2 linked regions of the Sus scrofa genome follow. The protein of the gene in region 1 purifies or fractionates together with the protein of each later gene. This does not show direct contact. Links are inferred from orthologs where the notes say so. Each region holds a gene or a part of one and is shown on either strand. Other genes may lie near its edges.

The links.
Region 2: the proteins of TESK1 (region 1) and RABEPK purify together in Homo sapiens (affinity purification with mass spectrometry; 3 studies listed by BioGRID and IntAct, with this or other methods). This does not show direct contact. The link is inferred for Sus scrofa from reciprocal best matches to the Homo sapiens genes TESK1 and RABEPK.

Annotation. Positions count from the first base shown.
Region 1 is NC_010443.5:236,339,995-236,343,906, forward strand, and holds the start of TESK1 (dual specificity testis-specific protein kinase 1), read left to right. Parts: upstream 1-1,165; 5' UTR 1,166-1,465; coding exon 1,466-1,690; intron 1,691-1,798; exon of another isoform or gene 1,799-1,814; coding exon 1,815-1,936; intron 1,937-2,053; coding exon 2,054-2,102; intron 2,103-2,613; coding exon 2,614-2,760; intron 2,761-3,100; coding exon 3,101-3,183; intron 3,184-3,353; coding exon 3,354-3,444; intron 3,445-3,660; coding exon 3,661-3,744; intron 3,745-3,912. UniProt on the Homo sapiens protein: Dual specificity protein kinase activity catalyzing autophosphorylation and phosphorylation of exogenous substrates on both serine/threonine and tyrosine residues.
Region 2 is NC_010443.5:265,922,249-265,926,060, reverse strand, and holds part of RABEPK (rab9 effector protein with kelch motifs), read right to left. Parts: intron 1,981-3,812; coding exon 1,831-1,980; intron 1-1,830. UniProt on the Homo sapiens protein: Rab9 effector required for endosome to trans-Golgi network (TGN) transport.

The sequences.
Region 1 (3,912 bases):
TGGCATGCGCACAGGGTCCTGAGACGGTGCGTGCGCACTCAGGGTGCCGCGCCGCTTTAGAGGCCGGCTGCAGATCCTCCTCTCGCCTGAGGGGGCAGATCGGATTCCTACGTAATGCGGGGCGGTACCTGCCTAGGAGAGTCACACTGATGAGGGCTGGGCCACACCGAGGGGAGGAGTCACGTTGAGAGGAGGGGTCACAATGACGGGTGGAATCGCTCTGAGAGGTGGGGTTCGCCCTGGAAGGGCGAGACGGACAGAGGAGGGGTGTCGCACTGAGGGATTCTGGCACACACTGTTGGCGGCATGGTCACATTGCGGAGATGTTCCTCTGAAGGAGAGACTCTCACTGAGGAAAGAGTTGGTTCTCTGAGGGGGAGGGCTCCTTGAGGGGCGGGGTTTTGCCAAGGGGTGGGATATTTCCCTACAGGTGGAGACTTCTCTTTTGAGAAAGAAGGGCATGTGGACGAAATAGTAAGAGGAGGCTCCAGGCTGTGTGGTCAGTGCGCAGAAGCCCCTGAATCTAAACTTTTTTCGCGAGAGGCGGGATGGAGTGAGCAGGACTTGGGGCCACACCTGGAATGGGCTGGCCAAGGGCTCACTACAGCTCTGGGGCGTCACAACCTCCGGGGAAGGTACAAAGTGTCAGGGAGTCGGAGGTTTAAAGTGTAAGGGTCGAGAGCTGGGAAATGGGCAGGCTCGGCCAGGGCGGAGGCTGGGCAGGTGGGTAGGTTGCTGCCCCGATTGTGGCGGGACCAGAGGGGTCTACTTTTCTACCCTGCCTGTCCATGGAGTCCAGGAGTCCGGCGGCTTCCAGAGCCTGGCCCTCAAAAGACAGAGACCCGAGGGAGGGAGGGGAGAAAGGGCTCTCACGGCAGCTAAAAGACCTTTGAGCTGCGCATACGCACAATGAGCCATTAATTCCCTTCCGTTATTTAGCTTTGGCTTTAACTTCTTTGACCCCGACTTCTCAGACCCACTAGCCTAGGGCGTCCCGGCCACTGGTGGCGGGGTGCGCACCTGAGGGGGCGTGGCCGCTGCCCCGAGGCGGGCTCGAAGGAGTTAAGCAGAGGCCCGGCTCAGCCCCGCCCCCGGCAGGCCGCGGAGCCTGAGCCCCAGCGGCGAAGTGGAGCAGCCGCCGCCCGCCCGCCCGCCCGCCTCCGCCTGCGGGGAGTACCCCCGCCTGCCCGCCGGCGCCCGGGAGCGCCACCGCCACCGCCCGGCCCAGGCCCAGGCCCAGGCCCTGCGCAGAGCCGAGCGGAGCGGCGTCCACCCGGGCGCAGCAAGCCGGCGCGGCGGGGGCGGGCCCAGGAGCTTCGGCAGATCTTCCATTCTCCAGGGCGGGAGAGGGAGTGGGAGCTCCGGCGCCCCGGATCCGGCTGGGCCCGCACCCATGGCGAGCGCGGCCTGCCCGGGCCCCGGGAACCCTGCCATGTGAGGCAGGCCCGGGCTGGGGGGCCCGGCCATGGCCGGGGAACGGCCCCCACTGCGGGGCCCTGGGCCCGGGCCCGGGCCCGGAGAGGCGCCGGGGGAGGGGCCCCCGGGGCCGGGGGGCGCGGGCGGAGGCCCGGGCCGGGGCCGCCCCTCCTCCTACCGGGCTCTCCGCAGCGCGGTGTCCAGCTTGGCACGCGTGGACGATTTCCACTGCGCGGAGAAGATCGGGGCCGGCTTCTTCTCTGAGGTCTACAAGGTAGGACCAGCAGAGAGGGCAGAGGGGCGGGACCGAGCCTTAGACGCGAGGCTGGGACAAGGGGGCCCAGACCCTGGCGTTTCGCCCGACCTGCGCGGGACTCGCCAGCCCCTGCTGCCCCCAGGTTCGGCACCGACAGTCAGGGCAAGTCATGGTGCTGAAAATGAACAGACTCCCCAGTAACCGGGGAAACACGCTACGGGAGGTGCAGCTGATGAACCGACTTCGGCACCCCAACATCCTAAGGTGAGCGGCCCCAACCGCTTGCTGGGGGAGGGGGAAAGATCCCGCGGGAAAAGTGGGAACTGTCCAGGGGCCGGGACTCTTCCAGACTACCTTGCTGTCTTTCCCATCCTCTTCCAGGTTCATGGGGGTCTGTGTGCACCAGGGACAGCTGCATGCTCTTACAGAGGTGAGGATGAACCAGCAAGGGGGGACCCCACCACCAAGGGGCGAGTCAGCGGCCTGGTGCATCTACAGACGAATAATGAGGGGCAGCAGGACGTCCTCCCAGGGGAGGCTTTCCTGAACTTCCCTTTAGGCAAACCACAAATAAAAGGCCTCAGCTGGTCCCGTCCTTTATATCCTCTAGAACGGTGCTGTCCAATAGATCTTCCTGCAAAGATGAAAATGTTCTATATCTGCGCTGTCCAAAACCACAGCCACTAGCCACATGTGGCTAAGGATCCCTGGGAATGTGGCTAGTGTGACTGAGGAACTGAATGTTCCATTTTGTTTAAATTTAAATAGTTGTGCGTGTGTATGGGACAGGACAGGCTCAGGATATGAATGGAGGAGCCCTAGAGCAGACTCACCCTCCTGACTTTGTGATCCTCCTGGGTCCCCTGGCTTAAAAGTGGGAGACCTAGGCTACTGACTGAAATCTTGACATTCATTCCCCTTCTCCTACCCCTGTGACCCAGTATATGAATGGGGGGACTCTGGAACAGCTGCTCAGCTCCCCTGAACCCCTATCCTGGCCTGTCAGGCTCCGCCTGGCTTTGGACATCGCCCGGGGCCTGCGGTACCTGCATGCCAAAGGTGTATTCCATCGAGACCTCACCTCCAAGGTAGGCTGGCCAGGTGGGTGGGGGCATGAAAGGAGATTTGAGATTTATTAGATTGTAACTAGCCCATGAATATTAGAGTGTGGGTAATAGACATCAGGATGTTGGAGTAGCAAGACATTGGAAAGAGGGGAGGACTGGGATGAGGGGGAGTGCTCTGAGGGACTGAGTATCGTGCTGTTTCTGGAGTGATGGATGACGTTGAAAGATGGGGGAGCATTGGCAAACTGGAAGATTAGAGAGGGCTGGGATTATTCTGAAGTGACAGGTCTTTGGGGCGTATATTGGGAGATCAGAGAACCGAACGTGATGGGCATGTATGGATGCGATATGTGTATCTCAGAACTGTCTGATCCGACGCGAAGACCGAGGCTTCACAGCAGTCGTGGGTGACTTCGGGCTGGCCGAAAAGATTCCTGTGTATAGGTGAGGTGAATGCCCCACCCACTAAACCTCCCAGAAGGCTCCAATCTAAGTGAAGCCCACAGGGACATTTCCCTTGGGGTGGGGTGGGGGCTGACCTCATCCCCTTTCATTTGGGAAGGTGTCTGGGTGGGATGTTCCTGGCCACTCAGCCTCTGCCCCTGCCCTTACAGGGAAGGGGCAAGGAAGGAGCCTTTGGCTGTGGTGGGTTCTCCATACTGGATGGCTCCAGAGGTGTTGCGGGGTGAGCTGTATGATGAGAAGGTAAGATATAGGACTTCAGGAGACCCTTGAGATACTCTTATAAGGCCTCATCCCAAGTTCTGCAGCAATCCTACCGGATGTTTAGGAGATGCCCAAGATCCCCCTGACCCCTCACAGGCACCCTCTCCAACACATGAAAACTGGCAAGACTCCCCTGATTTCTGACTTGACATGAAACTATCTTTGCCTCCCCCTGACATTCTCTTCTACCCCTAGGCTGATGTTTTTGCCTTTGGGATTGTCCTCTGTGAGCTCATCGCAAGAGTACCTGCGGACCCTGACTACCTACCCCGTACTGAGGTGAATGATGTCTCCAAGTTTAAAAAAAGAAACTCTAGGAGTGGTGCTGTGGTGCAATTAAGGATCCGGTGCTGTCTCTGCAGTGGCTCTGGTCGCTGCAGAGGCTCGGGTTTGATCCCCAGCCTGGTGTAGTATGTTAAGGATCTGGTGTTGCTGCTGCTGTGGCAT
Region 2 (3,812 bases), about 30 Mb from region 1:
TCCGACTAGGAACCATGAGGTTGCGGATTCGGTCCCTGCCCTTGCTCAGTGGGTTAACGATCTGGTGTTGCCGTGAGCTGTGGTGTAGGTTGCAGATGTGGCACGGATCCTGCGTTGCTGTGGCTCTGGCGTAGGCCAGTGGCTACAACTCCGATTGGACCCCTAGCCTGGGAACCTCCATATGCCGTGGGAGCGGCCCAAAGAGATAGCAAAAAAAAATAAGCCTTAAGGAGTTCCCCTTGTGGCTCAGTGGCTAACGAATCCGACTAGGAACCATGAGGTTGCAGGTTCGATTCCCTGGCCTTGCTCAGTGGGTTAAGGATCCTGCGTTGCCGTGAACTGTGGTGTAGGTTGCGGATGTGGCTCGGATCCCACGTTGCTGTGGCTCTGGTGTAGACCCCTAGCCTGGGAATCTCCATATGCTGTGGGTGCGGCCCTACAAAAGGCAAAAAGACAAAATAAAATAAAATAAGCATTAAAACCCCGTTTGGCTGCCTGCAAGGAGTGCCTTTGTGAAGATATTTTTCATCTGTCAGTACAAGGTAGGGGTCCTGCATCTCACAGTTGGAAGAGAGAATCACCCCATCCAACCAAATATCCTAGCCAATGTAGGAATCCCAGCTTGTGTCGTCTGGCCTCAGATGTCACCAAAGCAGAGAACCCATTGTTTGGTGAGGTAACCTGATACACTCCGTAGCAGTTCTCATGCCTTCTGATCACGGTTCTAATGCTTTTATCTGGAGCCACGCAGAATACGTTCCCTCCTTCCTCTGTCCACTCTTTTTTGTGCCCTGCTTTGCTTCTTCGTGGTCTGTTCTTTCACCTACTTGTTATTATTATTATTATTTTGGGCTTTTATCTTTTTTTTAGGGCCATACCCACAGCATATGGAGGTTCCCAGGTAAGGAATCCAATCAGAGCTATAGCTGCAGGCCTACACCACAGCCACAGCACACGCAGGATCCCAGCCACATCTGCAACCTACACCAAAGCCAGGGCAACACCGACTCCTTAACCCACTGAGAAAGGCCAGGGATTGAACCTTCATCCTCATGGCTGCTAGTCGGGTTCGTTAACCACTGAGCCACGATGGGGACTCCCTTCTGTCCACTCTTAACAGATAGGTACTTGTCACCTGCTGCCTGCCAGACACTGTGCTCAGTGCTAGGAATACGCTGGGGAAAAGCGACAAAATGCCTGCCCTAAGGGAGCTCATAGTTTGCAAGAATGACCCAGAAAGAGTCCAGGCTCTCCACAGCACATTAGCCCTTCAAACACTTAAAAACAATTCTCATGTTCTTGGGAGACGCAAAGCATGATGAATTTTAATGAGAGAGTGGGGTTGTTGGAAGGATAAGAAATAATTAATGGTTAGGTACATGGCAAATGTTCAGGATTGCTCAGGACATACTTGTTTTTATTGTTCTTCTTTTTCTTTTTAAGGACCTCATGCAGGGCATATGGAGGTTCCCAGGCTAGGGATCTAATTGGAGCTACAGCTGCTGGCCTACACCACAGCCACAGCAGCTCGGGATCCAAGCTGCATCTTCGACCTATACCACAGCTCACGGCAATGCCAGATCCTTAACCCACTGAGCGAGGCCAGGGATCGAACCCGCAACCTCATGGTTCCTAGTCGGATTCATTTCCACTGCACCACAACGGGAACTCCGCTATTATTATTATTATTATTCAGGCCACATTTGACAGAATCTAGTGAAGACTGTGCTGGCTGGTCAAGTGCACCCACACCTAAGAGCAAGGCTATAGTCAATCAAAGCATATTTTAATTTTAAGCAGACAAGCCCCCACACCCTCCGCCCTACTTACTGATATCAATGCAATGGAGATCATCATAGAACTTGTCCCCTGCCAAGCCTCCATGGATGAAGAGCTTTGTCCCCGCTGCCACCATCACATGACCATGCCGGGGGGATGGAGGTTCTCCAAGTGTCTCTGGTTGTGACCAGGTCAGGGTGTCTAGAAAAATAAATTCAGTGACATCAGATGACAAAGCTATGAAGCAAGAACATGAGGAATATAGCCAAGCCACACCTCCCAGCGAGCAGAGAGGCCAGGCACAGAGTGATCTGGGGGTCATTCATTGCAACTTGCCAACTCAACCCAGACCTTCCTCCCTCTACAGCCTTTACAGCCTCTGCTGATCCACTTCCAGGGCTGGAGAATTTACTACTTAATATGCCTGCCCCTTCTACTGGGCATTAAGGAACCACTCTTTGCTTTGAATTAAGAATGGCCCAGAGTTACAAAGAATGAGTCTGCTTTTTCTGGGACAGGCTTTCAGTCTTCTCTTTTTCAAGACAATATCCTTTATTGATTTGCTGGAAGGGTGTGGGGAAAAAAAAAAAGACTACTTTTAAAGTTAGCAGGGCTTTCTGAAGTGGTTGTAGAGGGGTTAGAACATGGGATTTGGAGTTAAAACCGGGTTATTTCGCTGAATAACTATGTGGCCTTGCACCAGTTAATTCTTTAAGCTTCAGTTTCTGCAGCTGCAAAATGGGGGTAAAGACGATCCCTGATAATACCTACCTCTTGGGGTTGAAGTGTGGATTAAATGAGATAATGTACAGAAATCACAGGCGCAAAGAAAGTACTCGATACCCGAGAGTTAGTACTAACATGGTTATGATTCTGACAGTGCAGATGTGTTCTACCCGTTGACAAACCTTCATAGCTTCAAAATCGTACATATACAGAGTTCAGGAAAATCAATCATTTCAACTTATCAGGAAAGTTTCAAAGGAGTGCTACAAAAATTAGCTGAGACAAAGGCATGCCAACAATTTATTGCTGAATTAACATTTGTGGCATGCCAAAAGGTTGTTTGAGGAGCCCCCATTTTTCCAAGGAATATATTTGAGGGAGTTCCCATCGTGGCTCAGCGGTTAGCCACAGCATTTTTGTGGCTGTGGTGTAGGCCAGCAGCTACAGCTGCGATTAGATCCCAAGCCTGGGAACCTTCACATGCTGTGGGTATGGCCCTAAAATGCAAAAAAAAAAAAAAAAAAAAAAAAAAGGAACACAATTTGAAATAATCTGAAAAGTTCTAAGCATAAATAATGTTTCTCCTAGCATTGTTTATAAGAGTAGAAATGGAAGTAGCCTAAGTCCATCAACAGGTGAATGGATTAACTTTAATATATGCATTAAAAACATTGAAAGATTTGTGATTACAGGGGAAATGCTTAAGTGAAAAGTACTGGATACAAATACTACATTTAGAATTATCTCTCTTTTTAAACATACATAGGAGTTCCTGCTGTGACACAATGGTATTGGCGGGGTCTCTGGAACACTAAGACACAGATTCAATCCCTGGTCCAGCTCAGTGGGTGATGGGTCTGCAGCACTGGTCTCAGCTGTGGCTTGTATCTGATCCCTGGCCTGGGAGGGAACTCCATATGCCACAGGGCAGCCAAAAAAAAAATGTAATACAGAAAGTAAATGTCAGGAGTTCCCGTCGTGGCTCGGTGGTGAATGAATCTGACTAGGAACTATGAAGTTGCAGGTTCGATCCCTGGCCTTGCTCAGTGGGTTAAGGATCCAGCGTTGCAATGAGCTGTGGTGTAGGTTGCAGACGCGGCTCAGATCCCACGTTGCTGTGGCCCTGGTGTAGGCTGGCGGCTACAGCTCTGATTAGATCCCTAGCCTGGGAACCTCCATATGCCGTGGGAGCAGCCCTAGAAATGGCAAAAAAAAAAGAAAGTAAATGTCAGATCTGGTCTTCAGACCATGTTACGGGCTTCAAAGTTTATGCTTTCAACTAGTACCAAGATCTATCCTTAGCCCCC